3 linked regions of the Neodiprion lecontei genome follow. The protein of the gene in region 3 binds, or shares a complex with, the protein of the main gene of each other region. Links are inferred from orthologs where the notes say so. Each region holds a gene or a part of one and is shown on either strand. Other genes may lie near its edges. The genes, in order: MAD2L1-binding protein, mitotic spindle assembly checkpoint protein MAD1 and mitotic spindle assembly checkpoint protein MAD2A.

What was found.
Region 1: the proteins of mitotic spindle assembly checkpoint protein MAD2A (region 3) and MAD2L1-binding protein are in contact, whole or in part, in a crystal structure (PDB 2QYF), measured with the Homo sapiens proteins. The link is inferred for Neodiprion lecontei from reciprocal best matches to the Homo sapiens genes MAD2L1 and MAD2L1BP. Residues at the interface, in NP_002349.1 of Homo sapiens: Tyr33, Arg45, Thr52, Leu54, Lys122, Asp126, Glu127, Arg129, Ser130, Arg133, Gln134, Thr136, Ala137, Thr138, Thr140, Phe141, Leu142, Leu144, Glu179, Val181, Arg182, Leu183, Arg184, Tyr199, Asp205; in NP_055443.1 of Homo sapiens: Pro61, His79, Tyr82, Gln83, Gln85, Pro88, Leu89, Pro90, Gln93, His96, Ala185, Leu187, Arg188, Phe191, Arg192, Phe195, Asp198, Ala199, Phe200, Ser201, Glu202, Leu203, Gln204, Ala205.
Region 2: the proteins of mitotic spindle assembly checkpoint protein MAD2A (region 3) and mitotic spindle assembly checkpoint protein MAD1 are in contact, whole or in part, in a crystal structure (PDB 1GO4), measured with the Homo sapiens proteins. The link is inferred for Neodiprion lecontei from reciprocal best matches to the Homo sapiens genes MAD2L1 and MAD1L1. Residues at the interface, in NP_002349.1 of Homo sapiens: Tyr38, Leu61, Tyr64, Asn67, Val68, Trp75, Gln82, Lys83, Ser89, Ile91, Glu92, Ser93, Gly94, Arg99, Gln101, Ser150, Phe151, Asp152, Leu153, Leu154, Ile155, Tyr156, Thr157, Asp158, Lys159, Asp160, Leu161, Val163, Lys166, Trp167; in NP_001013858.1 of Homo sapiens: Glu527, Arg528, Ala530, Leu531, Gln532, Gly533, Asp534, Tyr535, Gln537, Ser538, Arg539, Thr540, Lys541, Val542, Leu543, His544, Met545, Ser546, Leu547, Asn548, Pro549, Thr550, Ala553, Arg554, Leu557.

Annotation. Positions count from the first base shown.
Region 1 is NC_060266.1:98,221-105,546, reverse strand, and holds MAD2L1-binding protein, read right to left. Parts: upstream 4,427-7,326; 5' UTR 4,282-4,426; intron 4,117-4,281; 5' UTR 3,790-4,116; coding exon 3,368-3,789; intron 3,295-3,367; coding exon 2,910-3,294; 3' UTR 2,646-2,909; downstream 1-2,645. Other genes in the region: probable alpha-ketoglutarate-dependent hypophosphite dioxygenase, read right to left, coding at 705-1,307, 1,434-1,652; adipocyte plasma membrane-associated protein, read left to right, coding at 5,952-6,061, 7,181-7,326. UniProt on the Homo sapiens protein: May function to silence the spindle checkpoint and allow mitosis to proceed through anaphase by binding MAD2L1 after it has become dissociated from the MAD2L1-CDC20 complex.
Region 2 is NC_060265.1:6,131,957-6,140,519, reverse strand, and holds mitotic spindle assembly checkpoint protein MAD1, read right to left. Parts: upstream 4,657-8,563; 5' UTR 4,477-4,656; intron 4,354-4,476; 5' UTR 4,343-4,353; coding exon 4,067-4,342; intron 3,951-4,066; coding exon 3,720-3,950; intron 3,558-3,719; coding exon 3,115-3,557; intron 3,022-3,114; coding exon 2,569-3,021; intron 2,441-2,568; coding exon 2,136-2,440; intron 2,022-2,135; coding exon 1,669-2,021; 3' UTR 1,616-1,668; downstream 1-1,615. Other genes in the region: uncharacterized protein LOC124295044, read right to left, coding at 5,746-5,814, 5,967-6,147, 6,317-6,437, 6,727-6,855, 6,949-6,964; uncharacterized protein LOC107218520, read right to left, coding at 8,001-8,185, 8,315-8,420, 8,514-8,563. UniProt on the Homo sapiens protein: Component of the spindle-assembly checkpoint that prevents the onset of anaphase until all chromosomes are properly aligned at the metaphase plate.
Region 3 is NC_060260.1:24,016,517-24,023,425, forward strand, and holds mitotic spindle assembly checkpoint protein MAD2A, read right to left. Parts: upstream 5,029-6,909; 5' UTR 4,842-5,028; coding exon 4,769-4,841; intron 4,655-4,768; coding exon 4,089-4,654; 3' UTR 3,907-4,088; downstream 1-3,906. UniProt on the Homo sapiens protein: Component of the spindle-assembly checkpoint that prevents the onset of anaphase until all chromosomes are properly aligned at the metaphase plate.

The sequences.
Region 1 (7,326 bases), on a different chromosome or scaffold from region 3:
AAACGATACATCAATGATAACGCAGTCCACGCCGTAGCATTTTTTCAAATAAATCTTTCAATATTTCCTTGCAACATCGCCCCACAATATCGTTCAGGACCTCCCGAGATTTCGTAAATTTTTTCAACACCTGCCTCGATCAGCAAAAATTTTTCAAGATTTCACAATACCTCAAAAAATCTGAGAATATTTCATACGTAACAGACCGAAGAGTAATTGGGAAAGTATAATGGAAAAGGTGAAATTGCCAATGATAACGTGAAAGGATAAGAGTTGTATGACCTATATTCATCCATACTAATTAGTTGTAATAATCATGCGGGAGTGGTTGGCGCTGGTATATAGTAAAACTCAGGCAGAGTTTGTTGTGCTTTCTCAAGCAGATATTCTTGCACAATTACTTACTTTAACATATGATGCGTACAATTGTGTGCATATAAAACTGCTATTATCAGTCGGCGTACAAGCAATGACAGATTGAGAACACTGGGAACGGCATGGAGACGTTTGATGTTTCTTGCTGCCAAGGCCTCGGGTATTTTATTTAAAATTATCAACACTACACGCACATGGCGTACACATGTTACATAGATTACATACAACTGTTGCGAAAAACAATCCAGTTATACCAATCACATAGACAGGCAAAAAATGAGCAAGATATTGGCGGTACAGAAAAGCGAATAAATATAAAAGTTCGTGAATTAGTCAGCGAATCGCGTGGCCATGTTTGCGCTGCGATGTACATTCCTACCACGCAGGACAAGATTTTGTGCCGGTGATTGATGACATGCTCTCGTAGGTTCATCATCTGCGGCTCTGAGTTGTAAAAGGAACATCCTTCGAGCACGGTCGGAGAGATTCAAATATGATCCGTGAAGGAGGAGGTAAGAGAAAACGATTACTTCCCCCTTCTTCGCCGAGATAGGGGTCGCACCCTTCAATGGCCATTTGTTTTGATCTACCCAGTGATATTGTTCACCCTGCTCATCCGTTATACCTTTGTCAGCCAGAGGTCCAAGTTTATGACTTCCTGGATAAACTGCTAAGCCTCCATTCTCCGGAGTCGTATCATCCAGGTGTAAAAATACAGCTACCATGGTGTGATTTTTGAAGGGAAAGTAGGGATAGTCTTGATGCATCAGATAAGGTGCTCCATTCTCAGGGGGCTTTATGTGCGCCTTGGTGTGATGCAACAAGACATCTGGAGTACCCAGCACATCTTCCATGGCATCTAGCAACTTTGAATTCATTATCACTCTGGTGAAAACGGAACTGTGCATTTGTAAGTTGTGGATCGCCTTCACCTGTTAGCAAGCCCATTGAAACATAGAATTACTCGATCGTTAAAAGTGGAGCACCGGAGAGATACACGTAGATAATACAAGTGCTCGGAAAATTAAGGCTAAGCAAAAACGTTATGATGTACAAACCGTATAATCAATAAACCCAGCCTCTTGCTTCACCCTATCCCCGCTCCATGCGGATTCCAGTCCCTCCAGATTCTCTCTGGTCTTGCGCTCGAAAAGCTCGTTGTATTCTTGAGAAATCTCTTCCATCTCGGCCTCGCTGAATATTCCACTCAGCTTGATGAATCCATTTTTCTCATAAAACTCCTTGTCCTCAGGCTTCAGATATTTTAAAACACCCATTGCGTAACGAACTGACGACCAGCACAGTTTGCAGCAACAGGATTCGAACTGAGGATTTCTACTAGCTGGGCCGTTACTTTAACGCATATCACCCCACTGCTTCTACCATTGTCAGTCCCTCTCTCTATATTCAATTCCTCGTTTTTCCTTACTTGTTTTTGAAACCGCATTTGCCAATGCCCAGTGATAGTCAAGCTTACATATCAATTTTTTATATAACGCAAGAAACATTTTTCGCACAGTTGTGCAATATTGTTATCTCTCAATTCAGCTGTGCTGCTTACGTAAACAGCCAGTTTGACAAGCAGACATTTGACCGGACGGGAGAGATAGGCCTTGTTGCGTCTCATCGTGATGATTTCTTTGGTTCTTTTCCCTAGTTACGTACTAGCTTTGATGGAAAAAATTATCATTTCTTATAAACGTCGTTTCGCGAATACACAGGAAGCAAAACCGTAAACCTGTCGGTATGTGTAATTTGTAATAGGTTGTAAGCGAGCGGGCCACGCGCAAAGCTTGGTCAATTCAAGTAGATGCCACTTGCCAAACGGCTGATGCAATAACCGAGATGATCCAATAGTCAGTGACCTGAACACCGTAGCGCCAAGTTAAGAGGGTTATCAAGCGAAACAAGCCTATCAGCGGTACGGCCCTTGACCCCTTCAAGACCAAATACATTTTGGTAGATGGTATTGAACGGCACATCTCTGATAGATGCTGCGGACGTCAAGATCGTAAATTATAATTTACTGACGTTGAATGCATGTAATGGAAAATTTCGACACAACGTTTTACGTAACGTACCATCTTGCCTCGTGACAACGAAAATCCTTCAATTTCAAGCAATCTTCCGAACGAAGTTAATAATTGTTCAATCTATACAAAGTAAAAGCTTGATCGATTCACAGAACTGAATGGTTATTCCATTTTGCTCAGTCAGTGTTTACTGTTTTACCTGGGGTCAGGCCGCAAACATGGCTGTTGAATTTCGTGTTTTCGATTGGCTTTTCAAATTCATTTGCAGCAAGACTGGACATATTCAATTGCGTATTTACATAAATGGCTTAATAGATATAAAACATTACACAACTGAGAAAGTGCTCAGCGATTGTCCATAAAAATCGACATCTGATGCTCAAGGTTATAACCATTTCATCAATTATACGAACTAAATAATCAGCTAATCATTTATCAGCCTGGATGATATAATAAACAATAAAGTTTTGCCAGAAGGGTGAACAAAAAACAATGATTGCATCACCGAGAAAACTTGAAGCCTTTGATAATGTCTCTGGACTGATACCATTGGTAAATACTGTCTTGGCCTCCTTCAAATATTTTTTCAGTACTGCGGTGTCCGGCTGTGTTCTGACTAGGTGCCAATTCCGAATACGAAGCATCTCGATCTCGATATACGCTTACTGTATTCTTGCAATTGCAATTCCACATTTCATGACTTTTATGGGACAGCTTTAGGTGTAAACGACTTCCTGCCGTCGCATTAGTTATCGCGTAACGTGGTTTAGGCACAAAGAATTCCGACACCTTGTTGCAATCTCTCTTTTGCAAGAGGAAAAACGTATTCGTGGGCATCAAAGGCAACGCCATAGCTTCTTGAAAATCTACGCTCTCCGTTATGGATCTGGGAAAAATAATAACATGAAAGATAGACCATAAGCAGGTGATAGATAAGAAGGGGGATCGCAGTGTCGTACCTCATGAGGTTCAACAGTGGCTTACGAGGGGAATGCTGCTGCTTGAAATGGCACTGTCCACTGAGTATTTCTGGGGGAAGGCTCACTCGAAGGCAGAATTTTGGAGCAAGTATTGTCGCGCCCATTGATATAAAGATTTCCTTTACCGCTGAACTCTCGCAACATAATTCGGTATTTAAATGTTCCGAAATATTCTCCAGGCAACTCAATGTTGCTCTCGCCGTTGCCAAACTCCTGTCGTTGACTCCTACCGACGAAGCTCCCAGTCGCAGTAAATACTCGTAGCTCACCGGAATCTGTTGCTTTTGATACAACAGATATTTGACCAGCTCCAAAATTAATTTGCAACACGAGTCACTAGTTAAAGGTTCGTCCAGTTTCACACACACTTCTAACTCCTCGATTTTTTTTCGCCCCAGCATTTTCGTCAATTACTTCGACCAGTCGTGTACCTAGGTCGTGTATGGGTTATCTACGGCTTCGTAAATCGTAAATCAGTCCGAAATCAGTCGTCGGTCCAATATGACGCCAATACGTAACAAATCAGTGTTCATCACACAACGCACACATTCGAATAGATGTCTTATACTGATACAACTTTTATTCGCTATGATAATAGCGAGGAATGAAATAATAATATGTATGCACATGGAGAATGCATCGGCGCTGAAAGAGTGCCGCAACGCCCGATAATGTCCCCCAATGAGGGCGAGGGAGAGGAACGTAGTTAGACAATGTGCTCTCTCTTCCTGCAACAGAAGCGTCCCCATCACAGTTGTTCACCCATCGAGAATTGGCTAAGTGCACCGTTCGCACTCACTCGAAATAATCCGAATAATACGTGGAGTTTCTATGGAGTTTCGGAATCGTTTAACCCGTTTTTACTACAAACTTTCGAGAGTTGGTAAACTTACCAATGGTGAATTCCTGCGCGTACGCGCAGTATATTTTCAAAATGCGCGCTACTTTGCCGCATCATGGAGTCGCGCTTGCCAGATACTACCAGAAAGACTCTAGTGATCTCCCTTTCTCGCCAGTTGTATCAGCTCTCTTGCTTCCTCATTCTCGTTTTCTCCTCTCTCTCTCTCCCTCTCTCTCTCTCTCTCTCTCTCTCTCTCTTTCTCTCCTTCCCTCATTCTCTTCAGTCAGATGGCCAGTCAGGTGGCTTCGTTCATTTTGACACCGGTTTTCAACGACTGAAATACAGTTTCCAACGAATGCTCTTGAGGTTTACGGTACATCTACCTAGGATGTATTCCATTGAAGTTATATCTTCCATACCTGCGGTGTTGTCGACCTGTGGTGATGTGTGGGCAAAGTCCAGCGAAATCCAAAGAGGATAGGATTGGCCAAGTCAACGAACCCAAAAATTCAACAGTCGTTAACCGTCATTCGTGATCAACTGTGAACGTGAAAAATCACTCATCGTACATCCTTAGCACCGTTCTGAGACTGGTAATAATTTTTATACTTGACCCTCGGTGTTTCTACCGAATCCACGATAATGCCGTTTTCTTAGAAATATCTTGCTCCAAAATCGCATTTAGGTTCCAACTTAATTTCAACTATATAAAAATTGTCGCTGTACGCGTAGCAACACAATTATGCTTGATTGTTTTTTTTTTTTTTTTTTTTTTACCTGTGACCGTTATGTTGCCGTGCGTGACGCGGCAAGTTGGAAGTATCCGGCGATATCTTAGGTATACCTGCTTGGGTCAGCTAAATATTCACATTTCATACGAACAAACTTATTACCCCTGTCGGGTGTTCTGTTATTTCGCGCTCATTTTGATAATTTGTTTTACAAATTATTTTATACATCATTATAAAAACAACAGTACCCAGAGAATTTCTTCAACCCGCTCTATTGGAATTCGACAAGAAGTATACATAATTCCTTTGATTACCTGAAAGCATTCATTATGTTATAATCGTTGTGCGACATAGTTCATCGTCTTTTTTCTAGGCATATCTAAGGTGAGTATTTCAATCCAAATTCATTATCGCGTGATACGCATTTTTTAAACACGTCTTATTGCTGTTGTATTGCATACTTTATCTACGATCAATTATGATCCTTCAAGTAGCTCCCAGCAGCTTTCACTTACTCCAACTGAAAGTGTAGACTATTCGCAAGAAGAAGAAGTGCGATAGATAAAAGAAAATCAGTTACTCCTCAATATTTGTGGAAAGCGCTATCAGTAATTCTCATTCGCTACAGTGGAAATATAATGTTTTTGTATGCCAGGTTATAGTAGACACAATTTCAGTGACTTTAGCTTGCTTTATATGGTGAATGTCTAGTAAGAGACCCTTCCAAGCCCTATGGCCACCGTCTGGTGCCAACACCTGTGCGATTGTGGGCAAATGTTCAGTGGTAAGAGTTGTGCGTATGTTGATGCATGCATTGACAGCATGCCATATAAGGATCTGTTACAAGGGATATACACGGGATACATCTTATTATTGAAACATCCGCTGAGTTATTTCAGATCTGTACTATTTCTTAAATGTATTGCACTATGTTACATTAGCAGCATAACATTTCTGATACATGCGTTTTGTTTTATCCCAGGTTACGACAATGGGTTACCTAAAGTCTATAGGCACCACATTCATCTATATTGGATTATTTCTGGCGCTCATCACTTTCCTACCTGGCCTACCACCAGATGCACAGTTTGCTGAATACAAGTAGGTACACAATGGAAAATTGAATGAGATGATTATATTGCAGATTGCTAACCACATTCCACCCGGCATCCTTTCTATAGATTTGTCACTGTTTCTTAAATATTGTGAATGTTTGGTGAAGCGGACTCCTTGAAGCTGCTGAAGGTGATTGATTCTTTGCACCAACTCTTATGGGCTAGTACTTACTATTTGTGTCTGGGGTCAGCTTTACCAAAGATTCACAATGCTTCTGCTGTTTTAACCTAATTCACTCTGATACTGGGCAAGGAGACTAATTGTAAGAAATATTATTTTCAGACGCTTGAGATCCATGAATCGTGTTATTCCCTGCAATATAGACAAGCTTGCATATCACTTATGTTTTTATCCTCTTTGCAAAAAACGTAACATAAAATTGTTCTTGAATTTACCCTGTGACGTGGCATTTCTCGCTCTCAACAAAAACAAACTCATCGGAAGAGTGTAGAGGCTGCGAGATGCAGATTTTGCGATTTGCAGTTTGTATTCTCTCATCGGTACATTGCCCCTAGGAGCGGGGGAGTTGTAACGCGGCATGTCTCGCTGTTTGGGTAGCAGTTTGGAACGGTGTTTAGCGGGAGCTCGAGTAGCTCAGTAGTGAGAGCAGTTGCCCAGGAAGCAAAAGGTTTTCTAGTTCCAATTCGTGTCCTTCAAGCCGTGAAATAATATTTCTGGACATACCGAAAAGCTTGTCACATTACACATCCTTTTAAACCTGTGTTCTACATACTCGACAGTTGTTTCTCAAAGTTTCATGGGTTCAAGTACTGATTTCATTACTTCAAATGCAATTATTCATACCGCTTGCGTTGAGAGCCCACATATCAGAGCTTATTCTTTATAAGAGCTTTGAATTCTATGTGCCACATGGTAGAATTTCATGAGATTTTCACTCACAGTATTTCTGAAACGAACAGTTTTTGTGCTTTATGTAATTTTCGTATTAATTGACTGTGCTGAGTTGACTACTTGAAATGCGTTGTGAAGAGAAACATTACTTGACTACAAAAAATTGTACATCCCCAATGAATCAAAAGTAAGACTAAAGTTTATGAGGAATATGCCACTCGGTCTCTGTTACAACTTGTCGTCCCTTTGCAGTATATCGCCACCGCAGCAGTTCCTAACAGATGCCCTGAAATTGAACAACAGACTGGATGATGCCGAAATTCTGTTTGAAGGGAAACTAAAGGGCCCTGAATCTTTTACCTCACGTAACGGGGAATTGTTCACCACCTTGCATGGAG
Region 2 (8,563 bases), on a different chromosome or scaffold from region 3:
GTAGAAATAAACGCGTTTTCTTCGAGTCCTTTTTCCACCGCCCCAGCAGCCCTTTTGCGTCTGTCTCTACGTGCGCCGGACACCTGGAGTATCTCTGGAGTATATAACTACGCCGAGTGGCTCCTCGACGTAGGCTCAGCGAGGGGCGAAAAGCGGGGCGTAAGCGAGAGAGGAAGGGAGGGCGAGAGAGTCCAGATTGATAATCAGGACTGAGCGACGCCGGGCACGAGGTCTCGGGGTGAGCACATACACGTCGCGTCGTCCTGCGTCTCTGTGTACGAAAGCGGTCGTCGAATATGGGGGGTGGAAGAGGAGGGCGACGCCGGGCAGGGTAGAGAGGACGAGTTTGCGATTAAACGTGATTATAATTAGCGATAATGGAGTTTAGCCCTTCGGAGCTCCCGAATGAAGCGGATCCGAGGGCGGCCGCACCAGCCTTTCCTTATTTTACCCCGTGTCCTGCGGGGGTGCTGCTCGCCGCCGCCGACCGATAGAGCGAACCTCTGTGCCCGGCTATGTATCTCCGTATTATGTACCATATACATTATGGGCATGTGTATATAACCGGGGTTCCGTAATCGCCCTTCCTTCTCCTCAACGAACCTCTACTTCTTCTTCGCCCGGCACAAATTATCACCCTGTCCCAAGTACTACGAGACTGTTATGTGCCCATAGATCTTGGCCGGTTCTCTCCACCTATGTCTAGAGATAATTACCACGTATTATACTAATCGTCGGATCGAATGGGACGAACCTTACGTGACGGTTATGGGGTTCGGATTGATATTGCCCCTCCGACGCGACGAGTCGAGTTTTCATCAATTACGTATGTTTCGTAACAATTTATCGGTCCGGAGTTTCATGCTTTTATTTTCCGTCAGTTTTTACTGTTGTTATATTATTGGGGATTTATAGAAAAAAAAATAAAAATTCGTCTCGTGGGATTTAATCGGTTGGTTAAAAGTTGAAGATTTATACAAGAATTTTGAAATTAAACGTTAAAACTGAATAGAAACCGTAAAACATATAATAGATACAACCCTAGTTGTTGTTTGCCATACTTTACCGTCACGTTCGGAGTTAATTGGAGATACCGCGTGACTGCAGAGATTATTTTCCACGGCTGTTGAGGTGCGTTTAATTTTGGACTCGTTTAACGCTCAACTGGACTTGGGATTTGTTAATTTGTACGGAGCTAATTAATTCAAATCATTTAAAATTTTAATTTGAATGCAAGTTAATCGTGCAATATGAATCTGTGTAAAACAAACCGTTCTGCAAACAATGTTCTTTATCATTCGGATCACAAATCAGAACAATGTGTCGAAATTTGTAAAAATAAAAAGCGAATGGCAATTCAGCTCTAAATTATTTACTAATTAAATATCCATTTGCTTTAAACAAAAAGTAATTATATGATTTATATGAAAAGTAATAATATCAATCATAATTATAGATATCGATTATGGAATCTCAGATGTATTTTCACGATACTTTTATACCATACTAAAAGTTTGTTAAAGTATTTAGTCGTACGTACAAGGGCTTAAAGCTGGGTACGAGTTACATATTTAAAGAGTTGACTCGTCATTTTCAAATCGCAACAATCGACAGCTCTTAATGAATTGGTTTATTTTCAGTTATTGTAATATTCATGTAAGGATAAGTTCAGCTTGTCACAGTCGCAGCGGTCTGTTGAGAGAAAAGTTCCGTTTGAACGGCATTTATAAACATCGGGACACTGTGCTGTCTCTGTAGGTGACACTCTATGAGGCTACCGAGAGTTGCGGAAAAATCGGTTTCCAAAAGATCAACGCCTTCCTCGCCAACTTGGAAGAATAGAAAGTCGTCCGGCGACTCTGCGTACTGACTCGATAGCTTGTACCGTCCCTCCTTTGTCCTGTCGACTCGCCATCCAAAAAGCTGATAGCAGGCCTGGCGGTACTCCTGCGAAGCCGCCTTGAATGCTTCTTTCAGGCGAGTGATCTTGATCTCATGAGTCTGCTTGAGCTCGGCAATTTCTGTAACAACGATTGAGAATTACCCGTTTGGATATGAGCAAACAATTGATATATTCGAGCCAAGGCATTGGTGAATGTATTTTTGTTACTCTTTTTTTGTAAAGAATTCTTTACCTTGAGCTTGAACAGATGATCCTACGGGTCCCAGATTCAAAGTGCCAGAGGCCGTTCTAGCTCTGAGTTCCTCGACCTCTCGTAGAAGAGCTTCGTACTTTTCGTCCGCCTGTCTCTCTGCTAGAGCGGCTGGATTCATCTTGAAGTGAAGGATCCTTGCATTGCAATTGAAATCTCCTTTTAGAGCTCTGTGTTCTAGCTCACCCTTGAGTCTCTCGATCTCTTCTCGTAACTTTTGGCACTGACCCTTCTGCACACAATCATCGGCAGCTTCTAAATCTGACTCTAATTTGCTGACAAGCTCCCTGAAAGTGGAATAGTATTTCGCAATTAAGGTATGTAAATAATATTAGAAATTTTCTCTTGTGTAGAAAAAAAGAAATAAAAAATCAATACACGTGAAGTAGAGAGAGGACAATGTTTTCATATCTACCTGTATCCGTCTATGGCTCGTTCCAAAGCTGGTACTCGTTCGGTAAGTACACTATGGCCATCAACGGTCATTTCCTTTTCGTACAAGTCGAGTTGCTGTCTGTAACTGTCTCGTTCTCGGGTAACTAGCATCATTTTCTTTTGTAGCCTGCTAACCAATTTGTTCAATTTTTCCCTGACACCTGTCATATCGTTTGCTATCGTCTTAGCTTCCTCGTACTTTTTACTAAGGTTTTGACATTCTCTCTGAGCAGATTCCATCTTTGACTTTAATTGACCTTCTTCGGCTGTTAAGATCAGTTCCGTTTGTTGCAAACGTTGTAATTCTTTTTTTAGCGCTAGTGGTCCACCAGTAATACCAATCGACTCATACTCCCTAATTTGTGACAGTAGCTCCGCCCGCTGTGCTTCGAGGTTTGCAATTCGCAGCTCCAACTTCTCTGTATGCTGAACCCTGATGGCAAGTTCACATTATTTACAAATCTAGATTGATGAACTCCTGTCATAGTTTATCGGCAAGATTGCTATTTGAAAACTTTTTTCTTACCTTTGTTGCATGCTGCAGATTTGTTCTTCGAGTAGCAACTTTCCTTTTACCGATTCTCGCAAAGTAGAAACCTGTTTATTGGCAGCATGAAGTTCTCGCTCTAGATCACTAGCACGTGCAGCTCTGGCCGCCATTGCTTTGCCCTCCTCACATAGCGATCGTTCAGATTCTAACTTTTCAATTTTCATCTTCAAATTTTGTACTTCTAATTCCAGCAATTCACTCTTCTGCTGGCCACTTCTGGCCTCTCTGAGGCTCTCTTCTAGTTGTAGAATTCTCTTCTCAGTAGCTTCGAGTTTCTGTGTTATTTCTGTTACATCCTCATTACAATCACTTGGTGGGATTTGCTGCCGATGCTGGCTGTTGGCTTGTCTAGTTTCATCCTGAAGTCTTGCATTGTCATTCATCAATGCAAGGGTTTTCTGATCTAGTTTCATCTTCACCTAAGCAAAAACATAGTAAAGCAAAATTGTAAAAGCATGTAATATATTGCAACATTATTTCTGTTTCTTTATTCTCCATTCTTCGAAATTCTTGCAGAAAATAAACCACGAACAAACAGTGTATTAGAAGTTACGTGAAAATTTTCAAAGTTTTCACATTACCAGGGCAGTCTCTCTTTCAGCATTAGTCTGGGCCTCTATAGCTTCTTGTGTTGTTTGCCGAGCCATGTCCAATCTAGCTTCTAGCAGTTTTATTGACTGTTTATCTTGTTCAGCCTGCATTTCAAACAATTTTTTTTGCTTGTCAAAGACTTGTTCCATTTGCCTTCTAACACCATGGAGCTGATCCACTGTGGCCTCTTGGTGCGACAGTCTTGTTCGCAACGAAATTACCTACATAAGTATACGAGTGGTAAGCTTGTGCAAAGGGAAATGCTTCGTATGACAAAAGTCATCGATATTTAACGCATTCCTTTAGTTTTCAAGTAACATTTTTTTGCAACAATTACCTCTCCCCTCAACCTTCTCCATTCCCATGGACTTCCAGGTGCGCCATCCAGACTAGATCTGTTAAGACTGGTATTCGTTTCATCTAGTCTAGGTCGTTTTGGGGTACGTTTGCTATCATCATTATCGATGTCACTGATGATAGAAGAAGAGGGAATGTAAGACGCCGAGGACAACCGTAACCCGGAAGACGTTAGGCTATTGCGTTGATAGCCTCCAGAACCTGATCGCAGATCCTTGATCATTTTGACAACACAGGTTGGATCGTCGTCACCCATGATTTGGAATTCTGAAAAGTTTCAGGGGTTGTTTACGAAAAGGTAACCTCTTGAGGGTCGATTCAGATGCTGTATCAACACTGACTCAGTTCTGTAGCTTCGTAGAAAAATCGTCAAATGCTACCGTAACTTACGTGTTTCAACTATCCTATACGGATAAATATGTTTATAGTTATTTTCAAACAATTCAAACACACATTCACACGTATACGAGCAGCCCTGCGAGAAGCACAGGCCGTTTTGCCAGCTTTACATTAATGCCGACGAAACGCCGCCATTGGCTAAATCCATGGTAAACCCAACGGTAATCCTGACCGGCATAGCTGAACTGACAGAGATAGAGCTCACTAGGGCCTTATGCGTTTGTAACATCTAGGGATTTCTAGAGGTTTTGATTCTGAGATAGCGAGATCGTTTACTCTGCACTTGGCAACACTACATACAAGTTTGCTTGCAAAACTGCACTAAGCGGCCGGTCCAACTGACGGATCTTATAATAATCGAACTCGTATAATATATCGTTTAAAAATAAGAAAATATGTCGTGTGCTATAAGACAACTGGAGGAGCGACAATTGTCGGTGGAGTTGACTTTGATGCGATGGTCACCAAAAATGGATCTGTTGGCTATAGCTAACATGAGAGGTTAGTACGATATGCGTTGTTTATGAAGTGGTAAAACGCCGACAATAAATGAGAGAGAGTATCGTTATCCTTACTTTCGATGATTCGCATTTTTCAGGGGAAATAGCACTTCATAGGCTCACGTGGCAGCGTGTCTGGCTTTTACCCCCGCCTGAAGCAACAGATTTGGTTCAGGATCTGACTTGGAGACCAAACGGAAAGCTCATTGCTGTTGTTTATAAAGAATCAAATCTCATACATCTTGTTGATGTTGAAAACAAGAATATCCTTCATAAAACTCAACAAAGTTCACAGGCAATTGTTACAACTTTGTCCTGGCTACCATTGGGCATTCAAGAGGCTGAAAAATGCGGAACTGGAATCAAAACTTGTTCCTCGTCAACTGGAGAATATCTTCCACCTTTGCCGAGCTTGAACAGAAGTTTTGGGCATGAGCCTGAGCACAAGGAAAGCTTATCCCAAACCTTGGACATGTTATTTGTAAGTGTGTCAAGAAATGAATGCTAAAATACATAGAAGATTAAAATTTCTTACAAATTCATTTCTCTTTGTTATGTCTCATTTTAATTACTCATTTATTCACACGTATGAATCATAAATAGACAATAGTCGAGGATAAAATGCAATGTAATTTACAATGTGCTCAATTTTTTACAGCTTGGAACTGAAGCAGGCACTGTTGCTATGTATGTCTTTGGGATGTTTAATTGTGGTACATTAAGCATAGGGCCAGGTTCCGTACAGGAAATCAACGGTGGTTCAGGGGGGCCAATTTGGGTCAGTCTGCGATCCTTGGAAAACATTAGTGTTGTTCATCTGTGTTGTCCACTTTTGGAAAGTAATGGAGCATTTTTAAAAGTGAGTTTCACTTCATCTATACTTTTTTGTAGCCTTAAAATTAAGGTGGCAGTGCTGAAAGTTGCGTCTGTTTCTAAAAGGTAGCGCAAGCTCAAGCTAATATTGAATATCTGATGGACTACCTCGATCGTACGCTGATGGCTATTTCCGAAGCATGGGAAACAATTCTCTTGGAAATGGATGAGAAATTGTCTCGTTACGCTGAGGCCAACCCTCCTGGAGCAGTGGCTGCAGATTTTTTGGACCTTCTTATGATCGGCATTCCCTCTGCGAATTTGGAAAATTTCCTCTTGAGAGACCTGACTGAAAAAGGGTTGAAGAAATTAGGACATAGCATTGAAATGTGCTACAGTAATATTCAGGTTCGTTTACTTCTTGGGAATAACTAAAGATATTCTAATTAGTTCTCAATCTTTTTGTGCAGAAATTAGTCCTAAAGCATCTTAGCAGCGTCGGAATGGCACTGACATACCAGCTGGCTGAAATGACTGGAATGGCCAAACTTGGTGGACAATACGAAGCCCTGGGATTTACTTCCGAAAGTGTAATTGACGAGGCTCTTCGGGCATCGGAAGCTTTTCTTGCCAAAGCATCTGAAATACAACAAGTCATCGATCATAGTATGCGTGATTACAAAGCATTTTTTCGGTGGGTAGAAAAAAATTTACGAATCGTTTATTTGTTACAGAATTGTTGTGCTTTTCAGATGGCTATATGTTGTTATACTCAAATTGACTGGCGAACGGGCGCCACCTGAAGTCAGCAGAGTTAGTCAACAGGACTTGACTTTTATAGCTGAATTTTTACGTGGGTTTGATCAAGTTGGAGATAAAGAAGGTGCTAGGAAAGGTGTAAATCTTGAAAAACTCGGTCAGTACTTACGAAAAGAACCTCTTCGGACATGCTTAACCCCCGATGGTAGTGAATGGGCTGCTATGCTCAGCGAGAATGTCTGTTTACAAAACCATCCGCTATTGGTTAGGCAAGACCTGTCGCTGTCCTTGCTACAATCTAATGCGAAATTGGTTGACGCGATAAGCGTCGTGTTTGGTCAGGCTTACCAGGGGCTAGTGAATCTCTTCATTCCTACAGTCGTGAGCTTACCAGCTGTGTCGACCATTTCTTACTCATCGTTGCATTCACAGTTTGTCACATCTGAGAAGGATTTACTGCTTGCTTTCTCAGACCTGAATGGAAAAACTTTACAGATGTTTAAGGTCGTCCAAAATCCGGGTACTGAAAACTCTTTAACAGTCAAAAGTGCAAGCATTGACGCGGATCGACGACAAGGTAGACGAAGCAAATAAAAATTAAATCATCGTTACAACATTCAAATCATGGTTGTACTATCATGTTATGTAACTTTTTACAGGTTGCGATACAAAAGATATCTCTGCTAGCAGTAGTAGTTTGATAGGAGACTTGCAATTTTATTCGCAAGATTATTTAAGTCTGCTCATTCTGGATCATCACATACATTCGTCGTATTTCGTGCAGCTGCCTCTTGGCCATGTTTTCACATTTGATACTAGAGAGAATATGGGTATTAGTGAAGTGGTTGAACTTTCTGGTGGAACTTGGCCAAAACCTGTTCAAGGAATAGCGGCGAGTCGTTTGGCTGTAAGTGGAGCCCGGAAAGTGGCTGCAATTCTTAGTGAGAGCAACCGTAAAATTCGTATACTGGAAATAGAAGTTGAGGAAGAAGATGACGATGAAGATGATGAAGATCAAGCAGAAGAGGCAGATGATAGCGTAATGGATACCACTGCTGGTGCTAGTACAAACACAGCTCCACAGTGAGATTCTTTGAGCAAATGTAAGTAGTTTTTATTCATTAGTTGTGCATCTTAAATCTCATTGTTCTACATGTATATCAATCTATTCAATTGCTATAATTGCTTAGTATAGATTTGGTACAACTAGTTTGTTCTTAACAAAGTTAATTATTCTATTGTTATGAAAATTATGCTTATCACATTCACATTTGTAGATATAATGTCATACCTTGTCACATAATGTCCTTGACCATTTATATTTATTGCGCAATACATTGTGACCACTCGATATTCATTTTTTATAAACTGTATTTCTGTATTGGTTCACAAATTATTAGGCTCCAACAGCGTTTGTAAGTATTACTAACTTTTGATGAAAAATTATGGAATCTCAACAGCCTGCTCCTGATGCATCTTACTAAATACTTTTGGGAAATCAACATCCACTGCTGCATTCTCAATGCCTATTTCTTCTGGAGGTGGCGTGTTATTGCGAACTACTCCTGCAGACCTACGTGTTCCATCTCTATAATTGACTGGTGAGTTTTCCCTTGATGGTTCCATATCTGAAATTGATTGAACGAAGTTCGTGTAGTAAAGCACGCTCGATGTTGATATTTTATGTCATATGTGATAATTGATTTGACTGATCACCACTTGTATTTGGATATGGTATAATAGTTGAAGCGTCTCACCAAAATATTTAAGATTTCTACGTCGTTTGGTCGTAATTACGTACAGTAGCAAGGCGATGATTACAACTATTACCATAACAGCGGCCAAGCTTCTCAATAAGTTTGTCTAAAATAGAAAAATGGCATTTACTTCTTTCAACTGTCTTACATTACAGTCTAAAAAATATCACGAAAGCAAAAACTAAGCTAAAAATCTTGCCTCAAAGTCATTCTCCCAGACATCTTCCCAGTCTCTTGTAACTATCAGCT
Region 3 (6,909 bases):
CACGCGGTCAGCGAAAAGTAAAAATATTTTATGGTATAATAATAATAACAATAATAATAACAATAAAAATAATAAATACAGGCATTGATTATAATGGTGGACTATAATAACCCGTTTATACTACAACGGTTGTATAACCACGGCTCTCAAGAAACAGCAATTATCTGTACCTATGTCCTAAAATTGAAGAGCATCGTGGGATTGTATAACAATAAGAGAATAAGTTGTTTATTAAAAAATTCAAAAGTAGTACTAAGATAATATTAAAATCGAACGTAGGTAAATAATTATAAGGCAGATACTTATAAATTAATCGCGATTCGTAACGAACATGATATAATTAATAATATCACGTATACTATTATGTACTTTATAAATATATAATGCCAGTATGTGTAAGGAGTTATTACAGAGCTGTAATTCTATCCGATTGACCTTCTTGATGTTAGGGTCATTACGATGATTTGACACATCCCTGGGTAAAACTAGGCAAAATCATAACCAATGATAAAATACACCAAAAGTGGTGCCAGAATCAGCTGAAATGTAGAATAGAATTACAGCTGCTGAACCGATGCATTAGATAAATATCTATAACTATCTAGTTATAAAGCGCTGTGTAAAATATTGTGTACCGTTTCTCGTTATTCATTTTTCAATGTTTGTACTAGGAACGTATTTATACGATACCATATACAAACACATATATGTATAATAAATATATATAATATATATAAAGTTAAGTATACATTTAATATAATAGGGAAGCAATTCGTAGTTCAATATTTCACAAAATAATATAAATATTACTTAACTTCAAGCGAAGTGTAAAGCTATTCCTAATTTAACAATATTATACCTATATAATATATATAATGAAATTAGACAAATTTATTGTTACAATATATATTATATATGTTCGTTACGTAGCTGCAAGGCTAATTGGATCAGTAATATAATTTGTACGAAACGAACTTCATTATGCAGCTTTAACTGTGTCCACAAGACTACACGTATATGTATATTATACAATCTATACATCATATATTATATATATTGTATATTATATATATACATGTATATTTCACCTGGATATAAATCGTATGGATTTTCATCCAGCAGAGAATAGTAGCTGCATTTCATTTTTCAACGGTTAATCGGTTATCGAAAAATTATATAGGTACCTACAAAGTTCGCGTAGAGAGGCCTTACGTCTTAATTGAAAATCTATAATATAAAACACGATCAATAACAAAAAGAAATTCTCAACATCGGTATAATACTGCGGTAATATTTTTTAACAAGTGACCGTGTACGTGCCAGTAATAATAACAATTACTATCGCAATTGTCATTGAAATAAATCACAAACAAATATTGTCATGAATCAGGTGATACGACCTGTTCAATTCACCTGTAAATAGGCTGCTTTACCGTAAATATAATATTGTATACATGTTCACAAGTATGCATAATATTGTCGAGAATCAGTTATAGTGAATTTAAATGAGACTCGAGAAACAGAACTGTGCGCGTGTACGATTAACTTGCGAATATTTGGCCTTTAGTTAGTATATTTTTGAAAATGTGCACATAAAACATTATAGAGCTGTCTCTAGCCGCACCAATATTGATATCGATATTCTGATTCTCGTTAAAATTAAGTTACTTTATAGGTTGTCATTCTGTAATCCTTACGATGTAGGGTATATAATAATATACAGTACTGCAGCACATTATATAACAATATAAAGCATAAGTTGATGTTTCCTGATGATCTCTAAACCGGTAAGACGATATGATAATTACGTAGTTATGGAATTAAATAATTGTTATAACAAATAATAATCGACGAGCGGCAGCAGGCTTTCATAGGGTACAATGTAATACCTATACGCATTAATAAACTTATTTATTACATTGCTTAACGATAACAGATCAGAGCTAAGTGAGCTAATGAAGCAGCCCCTTAATATACGACGTAAATACGAGTGCTCGCATTTGTTACGTCAGCGGTTGAATTATTTCCAAAAATGATTCGACTGCCGTGATTCTTTCTTCATTTCTTTTTCTTGGTCGTTGAGGTACTTTATTTCACATCCCCTCCGTCCGAGGATACAAGAATTATACCTGTAATCAAATTCACGCTTGCAGCATTCGCTTTCAGTTGTTTGTTGTATAACTGTTATTATTACAGTGGATGTATACATGTAACGTCGCGATCGAATTAGGCTGTAATGAATTCTTACAACGAAACGTTGCTGATGTACTGTTCAAACTTTAGTCAAATACGTTGTATACATATAAATATATTTATTATTTATTCTAGTCCTAATTGCTTTACTGTAATAATATATCTAATTCCTGTGTCAAGTGTAACAACTATAATTAAGTTCTAATAAAATCAGGTAAGACCTGCTCACTTATCTAATCAACCTTTATCATCTTTGCTTCCCAAACTAATTGTAAATATAATTACAGTGTAACATATCCAGCTTTACAGCTGGGTGTGTGTACCAAATTACCAATAATCAGCGTCAACGCGACAAAGCAATCAACAACGCAGGGCTCTACGATACCGACGGTTGAACATAACCCAACCAAGATATAATCCTTTTTTCTGAAGTCAGATCGAATTGAATTTTCGGTATAAATTCAGACTGATCAACACCCGATAACAGTAACTTACATAGCGAAGCGCTTGGCTGACTTGTCGTAGGGATGGGCAATGTAGGAAATAAAAATCAAAACATCGATTACTTCGTGAAGGAATTTTAATCAAATTAGATGATTCCGATAATTTCAATCAATATTAAAAATTACACAATTTCCCAATGAAAAATAGTTATTTGCAATTGGAAAATTTCGCATACCTTAGAGAAATATTTGTATTTGGTGAAATTTCAAGGTATAAAAATTTCGTAACTTACACACAGAGAACGCTAACCAATTAGTTGATAGATTTTAAATTTAGTTTATACAATTTTTTTTATAATTTCTTTAATATCAATATTTGTGACATTTTTGCATTGTGCATGACAAACTCGTACACTACAGTTTAGGCACGACAGACTCGGTACTCTATTGCCAGTTCTGTGAAGGGATGTGGCGACTGTAGCTAATCTATCCGAATCTGTGATAAGTTATAGAACGCAGCTTTGGTGGTTCTACTGCCCAAATTTGTGACAATGCAGTGATAATAAAACGTTACAATAGGTACATTATAATTACTTTGTTATAATCACACTCAAATAAACTCACTTACTACTCGGTGACAAATTTATTTCTCACTAATGGAAATAGTAGATTCATAAAATTTCAGAAGAACTATATTATATTAATGATTACTGTAGGTATTAATTCGCATACGAAATGAAGTTATATCGAGTTACTCAATTTTTTGGTGCTGTACACTTTAACAGAATTCATAAACTTTTAATTCAGATCATGTTTCAATGTTTCCCGAATTTATCATCGACTTTGTTGTCAGAGTGAATCATTTGGAACAATTCTTTATACCTTGTTCGATGGATCGAAGATGGTTACGAATGATTTCAAGTGATTTCCACAAACTGCGCACAATGAATATCAGGAATATGAGTAGTGATTATGCAGCCAAAACTATCTCGTTAAAAGTGTGATATAAAAAAAGGAGAGTAGCGACCGTGAGTCTTATTGGCAAGACTGATCTACACAACGAAGTAGCTAAACAAAAATACAAATAAGTCTTAAAATAATGAATTGATTAGGAAATCGTGAATGTACATCAACTTCAGTATGCTGTGATCTGTGCCTAATCAGTAGAAATTCAGAACATCCAAAACCAGTGTCTTCTAGCTCTTTGAAATAAATACTACATCAGGAATTCCGTGAGGTTAGGTATGAAAAGAGGAGAGAGAAAAGTAAATGAGAGTATATAAAAACATTTATTTGAAAAATTATTGTTGTCCTTAATCAATCAAGGAGACCATTACAGTCTAATACAAAATATGATGCAATTGAAAGAGTATAATTACAATTGAATGAATATGAAGAATAAAAATTACAATAATAAGCACTTGTGTACGAAAGCGTACTGTATCATTGGTATCAATCGTTTTTATAGCTAACTATGGTCTGCATCTTATGAATGGATGTAGAGAAAGTCCTGAGTTGCACTTCCTGGCTGTTGGCGATAAATACTGGCTGGGTTTCATCCCATTCGGTGGGTATATTACAATCAGGAACTGTGTATGTCAGTATATCAAAGGAGCAGAGACAATCGAGTAGCGGCAAAAAACTGACTGTTCCTGTTATCTGACGTATCACTTCGCGGATCTCTTTTTGAATGGTCTTCGTATCCTTTGTACCAACTTCTGAGTGGTTTATATTTTTGTTGCCGGTGGCGGTGCCATTTGGAGTTGATCCTTCGTAATCAACTTTGAAATCCCATTTCTCAAGTACCTCTTTAGTGTTTACATTAGTTATGACAAGCGTTACCTTTTGTACTTTCTTTTGTAGTAACCATTCTTCGATTTGACCGAGGACAGTGTTTAAGAAAGATTTTATCTTTTCATCCGTAGAGACAAGGATTGACAAACCAAAATGTTCCGCCGGTTCGAATGTTTCCGGTGGATATATACCCCGCTGATAAAGTATACTGTTGATCCCGAAATCTGTAATAATGCAACGATTCCGAGTCGTTATAATACGGTTCAACAGTAAATGAAATCCAAAACAAAGAGCTGGAAAGTGACAGTTTTTGTTAAAAGATGAGTTCAGATACTCACGCAAGTATTCAGCGACTAACTCCGCGGAACCCTTTAGAGTAATACATTTCGATTTTTGTTGCGTTTCTGTCATTATGAGAGACGGGCCCAATCACCGTCGCAGCCGACAATAATAAAACTAGCTACTGCAAGCCTCCACACATCAGCCGAATTAACCAAACAATACTTTCATGAGGTTAGAAACAATCACGGGTAGCTTTTCAAATGCACCAATCGTAGCTCATGAGGCAACTTCGAACCCCTCACCGTTCCTGTCAGCCAATCGCAACACCCAACCTTTGGTATCCATAGCGTACAAGGTACAAGACGGCAGACTCTCTACATGATTAATGTCGATCAAGCCACGGATCCGTTGACTGAAGAATGTAATGACGGATACCCCTGGGTAAAATTTGGTGACCAGTTTTCGGCGGGCAAATGGGCGCAGGTAGGCCTGGGAGCGTAGGAGGGTTCTGCTCTATCGACTCTACCCAACGGGCTCGCACCGACATTCGTAACAGCCGAAGTAGTGTCGGTATGGCAGCATGAGATTGAGTCGGTACAAAGTGAGTACGCAAGACTACTTGTCGACTGCGACTTAAAAATGTCGATCGGCTCGATCATCCCCGTGAGAAGACGCGAAACCGCGTCCGCCGACAACTACCATACAACCACCGAGCACCACCAATGACCGTCAACCACCTTCTCCCACCTCCGACCACCTTCGTGCTCCTTGTCCACCTCGACGCCGTCCTCCTCCTCCGCACCACGGCGCGTCGTCCGCGTCTTCGTCGTCTTTCACGACAACCGCCGATCACTTCCAACCACCTCCAAACACTTCCTACCATCTCCGTCCACCTCGTACCACCCCCTGCCGCCACTTACCACTTCCGGCAACAACCGACCACCTACTATTATCCCCGACCACCTTCTACCAACCCCTACCACCACCTACCTGCGCCTACCACCGGCTACCATTTCCGAACATCCCTAACCACCTTCGTCCTCCTGGTCCTCCTGCTCCACCATGTATTCCATAATATTAATATTCATAATTATTCCGACAACTTTTCATATGATCTTTCGGTCTTGAATTTTCGTAGGCATGGAATCGAAACGCTGTATTAGCTAGTCGCAAGTGAAATACCTACGTTGGGTAGAGAAGCAGAATTGTTTTTCAAAAAGTGAACATATGGGAAAAAATTCAGAGTAAGTGTAATACATCATGGATGCGCTAATTTTGATCGATATGAAATGGATGCTCCGTATATGAGACAGTATTTAACGCTGCGTAGTGATTTAAAGACCTAGAAAGGTGATAGGGAGAGAAAGAACGACGCTTCTTAACACTTCGAGTGTATTTTAACACACATTTGAAAGATACGAGCGAAATTTTTCATCATCCAACTGTCGCAGAACGGCAGCGTTATTAGCCGACCCGTTCACTGAAGAATACATCTTCAGTCAACGGCTGACGATCGAAGGGCCTGGCCGCTTGAGTCTGGAATCGGCAGGAGAGATAAAGTGCGTATTTCTTGTATGAAATGTGAAAGCTAAAATCATTATACATCATATCATATCATCATACATCATACATCATACATCATACATCATACATCATACATCGTACATCATACATCATCATACATAGTATCAAAGTTCGAAACCATAGTTTGGATGTCGGATGTTCAGAAAGTGACGTCACCAATTCAAAATCAGCTAGCCGAATTCCTCAGTCGGGAAACAACCGCGCAGTAGAGCGGACGGATGAGAGTCGCGCTCCGCAAATTTCGAGTACCGGGTTCTCAACCTCCCGGATCCCGCGCTTCGGGTCCGCTACGTATTTGGAGTACCGGGTTCTCAACCTTCCGGATCCCGCGCTTCGGGTCCGCTACGCGGTAAAACTCGGCTTCCAGGATAAGCGCTCCGTGGCTCCTCGTTCATGTTTACAATAAATTATTTCAATTCGTTTTTCGCGCAAGCCCAAATTCAGTAGCTGTCAGTCCGCTAATAAAATTTCTCGACTTCCAGGATAAGCGCTCCGTGGTTCCTGGTTCATGTTTACAATAAATTATTTCAATTCGTTTCTCGCGCAAGCCCATATTCAGTAGCTGTCAGTCCGCTAATAAAATTTCTCGACTTCCAGGATAAGCGCTCCGTGG